Xenopus tropicalis: one gene and its partner. The protein of the gene in region 2 interacts with the protein of the main gene of each other region in a pairwise test. Links are inferred from orthologs where the notes say so. Each region holds a gene or a part of one and is shown on either strand. Other genes may lie near its edges.

What was found. The genes of interacting proteins can lie anywhere in the genome.
Region 1: the proteins of lmna (region 2) and vamp4 interact in a two-hybrid assay, tested with the Homo sapiens proteins (2 studies listed by BioGRID and IntAct, with this or other methods). The link is inferred for Xenopus tropicalis from reciprocal best matches to the Homo sapiens genes LMNA and VAMP4.

What each region holds. Positions count from the first base shown.
Region 1 is NC_030680.2:107,499,268-107,507,017, reverse strand, and holds the start of vamp4 (vesicle-associated membrane protein 4), read right to left. Parts: upstream 4,478-7,750; 5' UTR 4,458-4,477; intron 2,130-4,457; exon of another isoform or gene 2,024-2,129; intron 1,357-2,023; 5' UTR 1,281-1,356; coding exon 1,215-1,280; intron 705-1,214; coding exon 658-704; intron 1-657. UniProt on the Homo sapiens protein: Involved in the pathway that functions to remove an inhibitor (probably synaptotagmin-4) of calcium-triggered exocytosis during the maturation of secretory granules.
Region 2 is NC_030684.2:142,919,776-142,926,895, reverse strand, and holds part of lmna (lamin), read left to right. Parts: intron 1-1,337; coding exon 1,338-1,494; intron 1,495-3,593; coding exon 3,594-3,719; intron 3,720-4,900; coding exon 4,901-5,071; intron 5,072-5,146; coding exon 5,147-5,272; intron 5,273-5,518; coding exon 5,519-5,739; intron 5,740-6,514; coding exon 6,515-6,740; intron 6,741-6,887; coding exon 6,888-6,995; intron 6,996-7,120.

The DNA of each region.
Region 1 (7,750 bases), on a different chromosome or scaffold from region 2:
ATATTACTAATCTATCATTCCTGACTAGTACCATATGCCTAATAATTAGAGATGCACCCAATCCATTTTATTCGAATTCAGCCGAACCCCGAATCCTTCGTAAAAGATTCGGCCAAATACCAAACCAAATCCAAATGTGCATATGCAAATTAGGTTTGCACAGTAAACGTAAACGTGTTTACGTGACAAAAAGTCACATGGTTTTTAGGATTCGAATTTGGTTTGGCCAGGAGCGTGGATTTGGCTGAATCCCAAACTGAATCCTGGATTCGATGCATCCCTACGAATGAATCCAACTTAATATATTGGGAATAAATAAAAACGGTGATAATGAATTCATATTTTTTTGTTGCATATTGATTAATTATACTCCATTGTGACACAGTGACAATCAACTCACAGGACACAAACAAGATACTAGTAGATTATGCCCTATATGTTTTTTTTCTCTGTCAAAATACCCCCAAAAACACTACTGTCATGTATTTGAAAATTGTATCCAGCATACTGGCTTGCAGAATTGCCTCATCACTGGAACACTGGCCAATGCCAGGAAACAAATCTGAGATATATATATGACATGTTACTTTTTAGTTTACAAGATTTGTGCTGTAATTGTAATTATATATATTTATAAGACCATAAAAAAAAACTTACAGGAAGAAATCTTCTTCTTCATCTGAGTCTTCTTCCAACAGATTCCTCTGAAAATAAAAAAAAAGGATTAGAAATTTCTACTCTAATAAAAACAATGATATAGATGTATTGGAAACCATCTTTCAAAGTCAAAATAAACTCTCTAACAAAATATAGGATTTCTGATTTTCCCCATCAAGAATGGATTCATGCCTTGCTTTTGAGGAAGCCATCATTCTTTAGCCCATTGAAGGGGATGCACACTTTTGTAAGTGACTGCAATTTAATGGACCATCAGTTGCATTCATTTGGTTGGTGACTTGAGCTGACAGTTTCCTCTTAGAAAAACCATCATCTGTGATGTTATGTGGTTCACCCACCAATAAGTCTGCCTGCCCACCACCAGCCTAAACACTGACTGAACTCTGCTTTTTTCTGTTTGCCAATGGAAACATCATCTCTTTGTAGCCCTGGTCAATTAAATTCAGTATATACACTATTTTCTATTAACGTGACTTGGAAAACAAGCTGAGCATTCTACGTGATAGACAACATTGAATATAAAAAAAAAGACTTACCCTTTCACTTTTAACTGAACCTGTAACCTCCTCATCGTGGAGGTGCCTCTTGAACTTTGGAGGCATACTGGGTTTCCTTTGATGTGAATTTGTGTTTTATGACAATGATCAGTGAGGGCAATGTATTTGTATAGCAGTCAGCCTTTGCAGTAGAAAGAGAGAGAGAAAAAAAAAGATGTTATTAGAAAATCAAACTAGAACTATACTATATAACTATACTATAGTTTATACTATTAAGTCTAATGGCACAAGGGGCTGTTTTAGGTGTTTTGAACAATGCTTTTGTAAGGAGCCCCAACACAGCTCCAAAGCACCCCAAACTCTCCCTATAGATTGAAATGTGCCCACAATATTATCTAGACAAATATCACCTGACAAGCACTGGAACAATGGACTGCCAAAGTCTATGAAGGGCAATTTCAGGTGCTAATTTGGGTTACTTAAAACCAGAGTGCTCAAAGATCCCACAACATGTGATTACCTTTAAGAAAAAAACCCCAAAATTAAGGAATTGGCGCATTCTAGGGTAAACATTATGCCCATGTAATCTGGAGGTATTATTTATTACATTTGGACTTGAGAAGTTTTACAGAAATGTTATGCACTGACAAACTAGTGATTTTTTTTTCTTGCTGAAATTAAGGGCTGAGAACTTTAGTTCCCATGCACACATATACAGGTTATTTCTACATAATTTCCAATTAACTATTATAGGACAAAGAATCTGCACAGTGATGGAAACCTTTGTGCACTGGGCAGGATTGCTTAACATGCATGATATATAAGCATTTTTGGAATAACTGTCTCACCTTTTCGAAAGGGAAATACTGGCATTTATATGGTTATTTTATTGGCTGAAACAGATAATTCTCCATGGTTTAAAGGAATGTCTGATGAAGAGACCCAGCTGCCCCTAAAACCTGGTCAATAAATATAAAACAAAGAGCTGCTTTTTTCTTTCTCAACCAACTAGGTTTGAAATTAAAAATACAAGCTGCCAATAATAAACTGCCAGGGACACAAAATAATAAAGATAATAAGTCTTAAGTCTTGGCTAATATTTGGCATATAAAGAAAAAAGCAGACTAAACTGCCAGTTACATAAAAAGAAATGAAAATATTCACATATACATTTCCTTCCAGAGCTAACAACCCCCCCCCCCCCCACCCCACCCCATTACACCATGATTCTGCATTTACAAGGAAAAAGAACACAATGTAGAATTATACACAGGGGCAAGAACATAGCTGCGAGTTCAGCAAAAACCTAAAAAATAATTCTTGCATTCTACTGTTCAAAAATGTATTACCCGAGGCTCTGTCCTGTTCTGCTCTGCTCTGGAGCTGGTGCTAAGGAAAGGGGCCTATAAAAGCTATTTTTCTCTGTACTGCATTTTCGGCGCCTGAATAAGGTGCTACCGCAATTATGAACATTAAGGGCCTTAAGTTTGCCTTGAGAGGAAACTTCCGCAATTTTGGGAAATTGCGGCACCGCATATGCCATACCACCGGCGATTGACATTTAAGCCGATGGGGTGGCATATCGGGGTGATTAGTCGCCCGCGACAAGGGAGATTTGTTGCAGGCGAATAATCTCCCCGTCTGCCACGGCCCTAAAGGAGAAGGAAAGTTACAATCACTTGGGGGTGCCAAAATGTTAGGCAGCCCCCCTCCCCTCAGTGACTTCAATCGCTTACTTGAAACCCCCAGCCGGTGCTCCTGTTTGGAGAAAACTGCAGTGGCCAGGGTGTATGCGAGCGAGCGTTCCTTCTTCTTTGCACATGTGCAGTAGAGTAAAAAGCCGGCTTTAACAAAATAGCTGGCTTTTTCATTCAACTGAGCATGCTTCGGCCCCTGGATTCCGAAGAAAGAAGATAAAAGGAAAAGGAACACTCGCTCACATATACCCAAGGCCACTGCAGTTTTCTCCAAACAGGAGCACCGGCTGGGGTATCAGGTAAATGATTACAATCAATGGGGGTGCCTAACATTTTATTTATCTCCATCCCATCCAGACACACTCCAATAATTCTGAAGTATCCAGCCGGATGCTTACTATATACAGTCACAATACAAAAGCACTTATTTTTGCATGTTATTTAAGTAATCCAGTGAAGTTAAAGAGTGATTCACCTCAAGTTAACTTTTATTATGTTATAAAATGATCAATACTTGGCAACTTTTCAGCTGGTCTTCATTTGTTATTTTGTATCGTTTTTGAATTATTTGGCTTCTTCTTCTAAAGCTTCCAAATGGGGGTCACTGACCAGGTCTGATCTGGGATTCAAAATAGGCCTGGCCAATTCAAGTACACAAAAGGCCCAAACAGCCCCCACCAGCCCAATAGTGACTGTCTATGGTATCTTACAGCAGCCCCTCTGGAATTTACCAGAATCCACATATCGTCAGTCCGGGCCTGTCACTGACCCTGTCTGTCAAAAACTATTGCTCTGTGAGGCTACAATTTTATTGTCATTCTCTTCATTACTTATCTTCCTAGTTACGTTCTCTCCTGTTCATATTCCAGTCTCTAATTCAAACCACTGCCTGGTTACTAGGGTAACTAAGATCAAAGCAACCAGATAGGTGCTGAAACTCCAAACTGAAGAGTTGCTTCGCAAAAAGCAAATTAATTAAAAAACCGTAAATAATAAAAATTAAGACCAAATGCAAATATAAATCTCCACGTCATACTTAAAAGTTAATTTTAAGGTGAACAACCCCTTTAAAAGTTCTACGTGTTCCAATCTATACAAAGTTGTCATCAAGATCATCCTTATGACAGTCAATGAGACTATATATGTACCCTCTATTGTACATGATAAAGATATCAGAGGTTATGGGAGGTTTCATGACCATATAGTGGCACAACGCAGCAAGACACAAATTTTAGAACTAAGCACTGATTATCACTATCAATTTACTGGATATTCATGGCTTGAGTACTGTGTGTGTGTATAATATATATATATATTATATATATACATACATACACACACACATAGAAGATAAATTAACAAGTAAAGCAATAGGTGGCCATAAGTGTGTAGCAATTCGTATTTAGTACAGTAACACAAACACTGGGATTTGTAAAGAGGAACCACTGACAAGAAGACAATAAGACCGAGCCATCTTCCTCACCGCCTGTGACTGTCACAAGACAAACTGGCAGCTGTAATATATTCGGACGGTTCACTATTGGGGGAATCCCTCCCAACTAGAGCCGATGCGGCAGACCTGTACCTGTTCGGATGAGACTCCAGCGATGCTCAGCTCTAAGCTTATTCACTGGCTAACATGGCGCTCCAGCTGACTGTAAACCATCCATCGCTCGAAACGCGATTCACCGTCCTGTTCCCTTTAACCCTCTGAATGATCTAGAGTTCGGCGTTCTCACAATGCGCAAGCGCACTGGCACAGTGTGAAGCCAGCCTGCCAGCACCATTGTAGGACTGAAATTAATGATTTGACGTTGTTTGTATTCATTAACGCCGTACAAAATGTTTTTTTAAGTATTAATTACATCTTTTAAGATGAAATAGAGACATTAAAGAAATGTTGTCATTATTTTTAGTATTGAACAAATATTTGCTCTTTCATTTTATTTTAAATTGTCTCTTTCTTAGGCTAATATCCCATGGGGAGATTTAGTCGCTGTGATTTTTAAAAAGTGAGTCGCTTTTAACAAGTCACTTGTCTTTTCCTAACAAGCGATTACAACAATGGAGCAATTCTATTTCCCACAAATCCAAGTGTCATATTCCACAATTAGAAATTATATTCAGTGCAATGGGGAAATCGCAGCAGCTTCCATCAGTGGGTTTTACTTTCAGCGATTCCAGTAGTTTTTAATGACATTGCTTTCTTTGTAAAATCACTCAAAAAAGGGTCTCATATCGATTCAGAGCGTTAAGCGATTTGAAGTAGTATCGTCTTCGTTGTCGTGGGCAACTAATCTCCCCACAGTGCCATCCCACCCATTCTAGCCGGTGGGATGGCATTGTGGGGAGATTAGTCGCCCGCGACAACAAAGATTTGTCGCGGGGTGACTAATCTCCCCAAGTACCACTGCCCTTATACTGTAGAGTAGACATTTACATAGATAGGGTTTATTGGTCCCTTTGTAGGGCACTTACTCCTAGTGCAAGGTTATGTGTTTGCTTGTGTGTATTTATAACACCTTGGGGCACATTTACTAATCCACGAACGTCCGAAAAGCGTCCGAATGCTTTTTTTCGTAATGATCGGTATTTTGCAATTTTTTTCGTAAGTTGTCACGACTTTTTCGTAGCCGTTATGACTTTTTCGCAAATTGTCGCGACTTTTTCGTAGCGTTACGACTTGCGTGAATTGTTGCGATTTTTCGTAGCCGTTGCGCCGAGTACGAAAGTTTCGGATTCATTCAAGCTTCAGTATCGTGACTTTCCTTGGGTCGGGTTGGAGCTGCAGAGTGCCATTGAGCCCTATGGGAGACTTTCCTTGGGCCAGGTTGGAGCTGCAGAGTGCCATTGAGTCCTATGGGAGACTTTCCTTGGGCCGGGTTGGAGCTGCAGAGTGCCATTGAGCCCTATGGGAGACTTTCCTTGGGCCAGGTTGGAGCTGCAGAGTGCCATTGAGTCCTATGGGAGGCTTTCCTTGGGCCAGGTTGGAGCTGCAGAGTGCCATTGAGTCCTATGGGAGGCTTCCAAAATCATGCAAAGTCTGAAAGGTTTGCCCGCCGTTTACAAGCGCTCAATACAAAAAAGTAGCGACAATATACGAGCAAATCCTAACGGCTACGAAAAAGTCGTAACGTCGACGAAAAAATCGCAAAAAATGCGAAAAAGTCGCGTGAATTGTTGCGATTTTTCGTAGCCGTTGCGCCGAGTACGAAAGTTTCGGATTCATTCAAGCTTCAGTATCGTGACTTTCCTTGGGTCGGATTGGAGCTGCAGAGTGCCATTGAGCCCTATGGGAGGCTTTCCGTGGGCCAGGTTGGAGCTGCAGAGTGCCATTGAGCCCTATGGGAGACTTTCCTTGGGCCAGGTTGGAGCTGCAGAGTGCCATTGAGTCCTATGGGAGACTTTCCTTGGGCCAGGTTGGAGCTGCAGAGTGCCATTGAGCCCTATGGGAGACTTTCCTTGGGCCAGGTTGGAGCTGCAGAGTGCCATTGAGTCCTATGGGAGGCTTTCCTTGGGCCAGGTTGGAGCTGCAGAGTGCCATTGAGTCCTATGGGAGGCTTCCAAAATCATGCAAAGTCTGAAAGGTTTGCCCGCCGTTTACAAGCGCTCAATACAAAAAAGTAGCGACAATATACGAGCAAATCCTAACGGCTACGAAAAAGTCGTAACGTCGACGAAAAAAACGCAAAAAATGCGAAAATGTCGCAAAATGTTCGTTTCCAATCCGAATTTTTCCCATTCGGATTTGGATTTGTGGATTAGTAAATGTGCCCCCTTGTGTTTCATACCTCTTCTCATTAGGGTTGCCACCTTTTCTAGAAGAAAAAGTATCGGCCTTCCTATAATTTTATCTTTTTTTCTATTAATAATATTGGCATCAGGCATCATCATTCGGTGCATCCCTAAAGAAAATTTCATTCTTTTTAGTATAGCTTAATTAACATGTTTGAATGTATATATGAATGTACTGAAAGAAGTATATGGAATACTTTAGCAGAATGAAGATGACTGACAGGCCAGGAAAATAATGGACTTCTGCTACTTCTGTATGGAGGCTGCTTTTCCAGAACTGTTGCCACAAACAGGTTTCACTGGGACCAAGGGACCTAGCTCCAACCATAAAAACAAGTGCACATAAAAGAATATCAGATAAAAAAACAACCGTTTGTTGCTGTCTTCTGAAATGTTTCTATTGCCCTTCTCATTCCCCATATCTCTAAGCTGAAGGAATTCATTCTAATTCTGTACATAATATGCTTTCTGTAGTTTCTAAACATTAGCAAAGGGACATCTGTCTCTATGCTTCAGCACTTCAAAATATGCTTGTGGTATGTGCTTAGTTTGTACTACATAGTATTATCTGAAAATCCAGTAAGGAAATACTGCAAGAGCCAATGTTCTGTCTGGAACTGAGATGTACATTCTGGTACTTCAACCCTGCCCTGCAAATCACCTTGCAGCAATATAATTCAGTGACTATCCAATCCCCATTCCATTGGGCTGAGAGATTCTCTGTGAAAGTCATCAGTCTGGTTAACCAACACAACATTCTTAAGGCCAAGAATAAATTGCAATGTATTAGGCAGGCTTTTTATTTGGCATGAGCCAATGTTACTGAGATTCTGAGCTTTTCTATATCCCTTTTATGCAATATATAAATGCATTATAGTTATAAATCATGATTTCATTAAACACTGATTATACAAAAGACATTATAATCATATAATATACAGTTTGGTAATTTCCCTATGGGGCCAAACTGTAAATTATATCCTTATAAATGGTGCTTAGTGTTGTCATCAGTTATAATCAGAGCTTAATGATGTAATTTCTGTCACATGACTCACTAAAACCTGTATGATATAATAAATAAAG
Region 2 (7,120 bases):
TCCTACTGTCTCCACCTAGTCCTTATATTCTTATTGTCCTACTGTCTCCACCTAGTCCTCATATTGTTATTGCCCTACTGTCTCCACCTAGTCCTTATACTGTTATTGTTCTACTGTCTCCACCTAGTCCTTATACTGTTATTGTCCTACTGTCTCCACCTAGTCCTTATATTGCTATTGCCCTACTGTCTCCACCTAGTCCTTATATTGCTATTGCCCTACTGTCTCCACCTAGACCTTATACTGTTATTGAGCCCTGCTGTTTCCACTTAGTTCTATTATTATCATCTAGTCCTGTCTCCACCTTGTCCTACAATTCTCATCTACTTTTGCTGTCTCCACCTTACCCTACTGTTCCCACCTTGCCTACTACCCCAACCTTGCCCAAAAGTCTCCACCTAGTTGTATTACTGTCACCTAGTCCTATGTCTCCATCTGTCCTACTTTTATCACCCAGTCCTACTGCCTCCAACTTGCCCTTCTGTCTCCACCTTCACTGTGAATGAATTGCCCAGGGCAGTTAAGCCTACTTGAGCACCAGTTAGGACAGCTGAATGCAGACCAATAGAAAGCCCTTTATGGGTCCCTCTGACACAATAGAAATAGGACAATAACCAACAGCTGAAAGTTGCACAGTGAGTAAGTCTCCGGCTCCGCCAAGCAGCTGGGACTCTATAAACAAAATGACTGTTGTATGTTACTCTCCTATGGGCCCAGCCGGCTCCTCACCACATGCCCAGCTGTCTCAGCGACAAAATGGGGACTTGTTGCTGCACTTCCATTTCCAGCCTGAGCTGGACACACTGGGTTTAGAAATATCTTCACTTGTGTTGCAGGAATTTATCTCTTCCACTCACTGACCTACAGCAGGAAAAGCACAATAAATAATAAAAATCCAACCAAAAATCACTTTCACTTTGTGAGACCTTGAGAACAGAATCCCCGGTAGGGTGTGGGTGGTCAAAAAGGTGGTCAAAAATGGACAATTCCAGCCTTGACGATGGAAATTCAGAACAAACTTGCTGAATACAAGGTACCTAGTAACCTAAATCCACCCCCTCAACAGATAATTCTGTGGGTCTTTCTATCCTCCAGGAACGTTAGGCCGTAGTCTGAACAAGCAAATGGAGAACCCACTAGAGAGGTGGAGAACGTTTTAGGGTCCCTCTGTACCCCCTCAAACCCTTGGGACTATGATCTGTTTCCTGCATCCAACGGTCCCTTCTATAGACTCATTGGGCTTGGTCCCAGGTTTCATTACCTAGAACCCACCAGTCATGTCTGTCTCCATGTTTGAAGGCCACGTTCTTACCATGTTTCATGTTTCTCCAATCTAGGAACGCCAAGAAGGAGAGCGATCTGCTGACGGCGCAGGCGCGGCTGAAGGATTTGGAGGCCCTGCTGAACTCTAAAGATGCCGCCCTCACCACGGCGCTGGGAGAGAAGAGGAATCTGGAGAACGAGATCAGGGAACTTAAGGCTCACATTGCAAAGGTGAGAAGAAACAGGGAGGGGGGAACCCTTTGGGAAGAAATGTTTTACTTTATGGCCTTTATTTGCCCCATGACCCAAGCCATCCCTGATCCTACTTCCTACGACCTGCAGGGCTTGATAGGAGTTGTAGTTCTACCTCTCCAACTGGAGGTCCAAGGTTGGGTAAGGGTTCAGCTGTTGGCCAGCTTTAATCATGGTCAAGTTTTTGGCCATTTTTTATTACTCACAGCCAAGGGGTTAATCTGTTCCTCCTTGGATGACAATATCTGGCACCGGTCCAAACAAGCTCGGGGAGTTCTCCGCGGCGAATTTATTGCTCGTCAGACAGGAGCTCGTCTGGGCCGGTAGCACAAGCTGTGTCATGTTTGGCTTCCTACACGTTCCATCTGTGTTTAGTGTGGGGGGAGTGGGCTGCAGGGGGAGTATTAGGCACATCTAAATGGCCACCCATCTGCCGTCCAATTGTGCCACTTACTGCTCCAAAGGGGCCAATTAAGAAATTAGAGGAACCGCAGTGTAAAAGGCCAGTCCTAGTCGAGGGTTTGCAGGAATTTCGACAAAACGTGTCCTTGTTTGTGCATGGTTTCTAATTAGGAAGTAATTGGGGGGGGGGGGATGCATTTGTGGTTAGTGGCACCATTGGTTGCCCTTGGATGGGCAACTGTATGATGCACCTAGGTGACCCTGAAATCAAAAGTCTGGGAGGGTCTAAGTCTGGAAGGGTCTAAGTTGTGTCAGTTGTTGAGGAGGCCAACCACGAACCCAGCTCAGTGCCGAGACCTAGTGGCTCAAAAAGACTGGGAGGGTCCAAGTCTGGAAGGGTCTAAGTTGTGTCAAATGTTGAGGAGGCCAACCACGAACCCAGCTCAGTGCCAAGACCTAGTGGTTCAAAAAGGCTGGAAGGGTCTAAGTCTGGAAGGGTCTAAGTTGTGTCAAAAGTTGAGGAGGCCAACCACGAACCCAGCTCAGTGCCGAGACCTAGTGGCTCAAAAAGGCTGCGAGGGTCCAAGTCTGGAAGGGTCTAAGTTGTGTCAAATGTTGAGGAGGCCAACCACAAACCCAGCTCAGTGCCAAGACCTAGTGGTTCAAAAAGGCTGGAAGGGTCTAAGTTGTGTCAAATGTTGAGGAGGCCAACCACGAACCCTGCTCAGTGCCGAGATCTAGTGGCTCAAAAAGACTGGGAGGGTCTAACTCTGGAAGGGTTTAAGTTGTGTCAAATGTTGAGGAGGCCAACCATGAACCCAGCTCAGTGCAGAGACCTAGTGGCTCAAAAAGACTGGGAGGGTCTAAGTTATGTCAAATGTTGTGGAGGCCAACCACGAACCCAGATCAGTGCCAAGACCTAGTGGCTCAAAAAGGCTCGGAGGGTCTAAGTCTCGAAGGGTCTAAGTTGTGTCAAATGTTCAGGAGGCCAACCACTTACCCAGCTCAGTGCCGAGACCTAGTGGCTCAAAAAGGCTCGGAGGGTCTAAGTCTGGAAGGGTCTAAGTTGTGTCAAATGTTGAGGAGGCCAACCACGAACCCAGCTCAGTGCCGAGACCTAGTGGCTCAAAAAGACTGGGAGGGTCATGGTTGGTTTAAGACAGAGTTAAAGCCAAAACAACAGACTGAGGGACTGCTGAACTTCTGGCCCATAGCCCACCTAGTCTAGGTTCAACTGACTGCTGAGACCTTGAGGGAGCCACCTTTGAGTCCAAGTGACGTTGGTTGATTCATGACTGAGTTCAAGCCGTATAACTGACTGTTGAGGGTGCCAGTTTTGAGCCCCAGAGGTTGAACTCACTCCTGAGACCTACTGGTTTAAAAGGCCAAAACTGTGCGGGACTGAGGTCCAACTCAGCACCAAGGCCAAGATGTGACCCAAGTGCATCACAAAACCCAGATTTGGTCTTCAAACTGGTCTCCCCAAGAATGGTCTCAAACACTAAAGAGACGTTATCACAATGTCCGAGCGTCCTCCATGGTGAACACAATTCCTTATGTTTGCGTAATAGGAGGGGCCTTATATTTATTAAATAGATGTTGGTTAAGATGGTGGGAAAAGGGACTAGTTAGTGGGTCTCACAAGCTGAACTTTCCGACTCTTTCTCCCCCCGCAGTTGGAGGCCAGCCTCGCCGACACAAAGAAACAACTGCAGGACGAGATGCTCCGCCGCGTGGATACCGAGAACCGCAACCAGACGCTGAAGGAGGAGCTTGAGTTCCAGAAGAACATTTCTAACGAGGTCTGTTTACTTATCTCTACTTTATGAACCTGGCCAAAGTCCCCAGTAACCACCATGCAGATTAGAGGCTGGATACAAGGCCCCCAGGGATCACCATGCAGATTAGAGGCTGGATACAAGGCCCCCAGCAATCACCATGCAGATTAGAGGCTGGATACAAGGCCCCCAGCACTCACCATGCAGATTAGAGGCTGGATACAAGGCCCCCAGCACTCGCCATGCAGATTAGAGGCTGGATACAGTGACCCCAGCAATCACCATGCAGATTAGAGGCTGAATACAAGGCCCCCAGGGATCACCGTGCAGATTAGAGGCTGGATACAAGGCCCCCAGGGATCACCATGCAGATTAGAGGCTAGATACAGTGACCCCAGCAATCACCATGCAGATTAGAGGCTGGATACAAGGCCCCCAGGGATCACCATGCAGATTAGAGGCTGGATACAGTGACCCCAGCAATCACCATGCAGATTAGAGGCTGGATACAAGGCCCCCAGGGATCACCATGCAGATTAGAGGCTAGATACAGTGACCCCAGCAATCACCATGCAGATTAGAGGCTGGATACAAGGCCCCCAGGGATCACCGTGCAGATTAGAGTCTGGATACAAGGCCCCCAGGGATCACCGTGCAGATTAGAGGCTGGATACAAGGCCCCCAGCAATCACCATGCAGATTAGAGGCTGGATACAGTGACCCCAGCAATCACCATGCAGATTAGAGGCTGGATACAAGGCCCCCAGGGATCACCATGCAGATTAGAGGCTGGATACTGTGACCCCAGCAATCACCATGCAGATTAGAGGCTAGATTTTTGTCTTTGTACCCAATAGCGTGATGCTAAAAACCATTCCCATTTGTTATTATTATTATTAGCCATAACCCATATTTATGTACAATGCCCTATTAATTATCTGCCATTTTGTGGTTGAACCTTTGCGCAATCGGTGCCCGCGCCGCCCTGAATTCCCGCCCCCCCCCCCCTCTTCCTATTTGTGGTTGGGAGCAGCAGTCGGGCCTTTCAAGCCGCCGGCGGTGCAACCGGTACCGACACGTGACTGCCGCCTCCGATAATCACTTAGGAACAATTAACGCTTATTCCCAAGCCCCAAAATCCAAACACAGGGGGGGGGGGCCGGGAGGAATCTGTTGGATCAGAACCCGTCCATCTTGTCTTGCAGGAGATGCGCGAGACCAAGCGCCGCCACGAGACCCGGATGGTGGAGATGGACAACGGGCGGCAGAGGGAGTTTGAGTCCAAACTGGCAGACGCCCTGCAGGATCTCCGTGCCCAACACGAGGGGCAGGTCGGCCTCTACAAGGAAGAGCTGGAGAAGACCTACAATGCCAAGGTGAGGCTGAGCGCCATTTAGTAGATTAGGCCCGTAGCCATGGATAGAACTGACCAAATGCCGCCCCCCCCCCAGCTGGAGAATGCCAAGCAGTCGGCCGAGAGGAACAGCAGCCTGGTGGGAGAAGCCCAGGAGGAGATTCAGCAGAGCCGGATCCGCATCGACAGTCTCTCTGCCCAGCTCAGCCAACTGCAGAAACAGGTACGGCTCCCCCCACCCCCCGTCAGGGGTGCCCATACACTGGCAGATAAGATGGCAAATCGGTCTGAAGGACCCAAAATCTGCCTGAGTATGGGCACCTTTATATATACACTTGGAGCTGCCATGTCGATTCCTGAATAAAGAAACAGCGCCACCTAGTGTGCACCAATTGCCCTGCTCTGTTACTATCTATGGGAATTGGGGGACAGGGGGTGACCTGTTGGTTTTTTTTTTGCTGCCCCCCAGCTGGCGGCTAAAGAGGCCAAACTACGGGATCTGGAGGATGCTTACGCCCGCGAACGGGACTCCAACCGGCGCCTCATGTCGGACAAGGACCGGGAGATGGCGGAGATGCGGGCCCGTATGCAGCAGCAGCTGGACGAGTACCAGGAACTGCTGGACATCAAACTGGCGCTGGACATGGAGATCCATGCCTACCGCAAACTACTGGAGGGAGAGGAGGAGAGGTGGGCGGGGCTTGCTAGTAGGCGGGGCATAAGGCCCATAGGCTAGATTTTACCCTTTCAGTGCCAAATTAAACCGCTTTAGATGGGACTTTATTAACTTTCAGATTTACCGTACTGTGTCTTACTTGCCCTTGAAAGTTGACTTGTTCAGGCAAATAAATGGAGTGAGTTCCCCCTGCTGGGTGGAACTGGTATTGCAGCAGGGGAATTTTCACTACCTGGTTACTTTATGGCATTAGTGGGTGTGTGGGGGGGTCCAGATACTTGTAACCCCCACTCTAATCTTGACTGTAGTGCCCCTCCCAATGCCAAACCATCTCCAAACATGTACCCTATATACCCCTCCCCTTTCCAAAAGCCTCAGGGGTAGAGTTGCCATCTTTTTCGTGGCCCCTGATGACATGGAGGTAGGGGGGTGGGACTTAAAAATGGGAAGGGGTGGGACCTAAAAATGGGAGGGGGTGGGGCTGTGACACTAAGGAAGGGGGGTAGAGGAAAACCGGGGGGAGTTGCAGGGTGGAAGAAGTAATGGGTGGGATGGAGGTGGAGAGGGGGCAGAATTGGGGTGGGTCAGAGGCAGAACATCAGGGGTTAAATATTTACTGGCAAGTCCATCATATATGTCCTGGCCCTGGCTAGTATTTACAGGGGTACAATAGCCCCAGCCTTCATTCATTCTCTACCAGGGGCCAAAACCTTTGGGGGGGCCCATTGAGCCCAGTGTTTCATTATGTCAGTAGAGTAGTACTGAGTATCTCTCTGCCCCCCCCCCCAGGCTGCGTCTCTCCCCCAGTCCTACCACTCAGAAGAGGTCGGCAAGGACCGTCGCCTCCCACTCTGGGACCCACATCTCCTCCTCTGCCTCCAAGAGGCGGCGCCTAGAGGCCGGGGAGTCGGGGAGCACCAGTTACACCCAACACGCCCGCACCACCGGGAAGGTCTCCGTGGAAGAGGTGGATCCGGAGGGGAAATACGTGCGGCTGCGGAACAAGAGTAACGAGGTAGGTGCCTATATGTGCTATACACGCGGGTGGGAGCTGCCATGTTGCTTAGTAGCATGAGGGGGTGTGGCTAATTCTCATCCAGTGAATGCTCCTGATACAATATATTAACAATTTGTGCTTCATGTGCCCCTTATTGTATTACAGGACCAATCGCTGGGGAACTGGCAGATCAAGCGCCAGATAGGGGAGGAGACCCCCATTGTGTACAGGTTCCCCCCCAGACTTACACTAAAGGCCGGACAAACGGTGACGGTGAGTGGCAGGGTCGGGGGTGAGGTGAAATGAAATATACTGTACTTCCTGCTCCTGGGCTGCTCTCTTTCCCATGGTCAGACAGGAACCTCCCCCTGGGTAAGTGAATCCAATCTCCCCCCAGT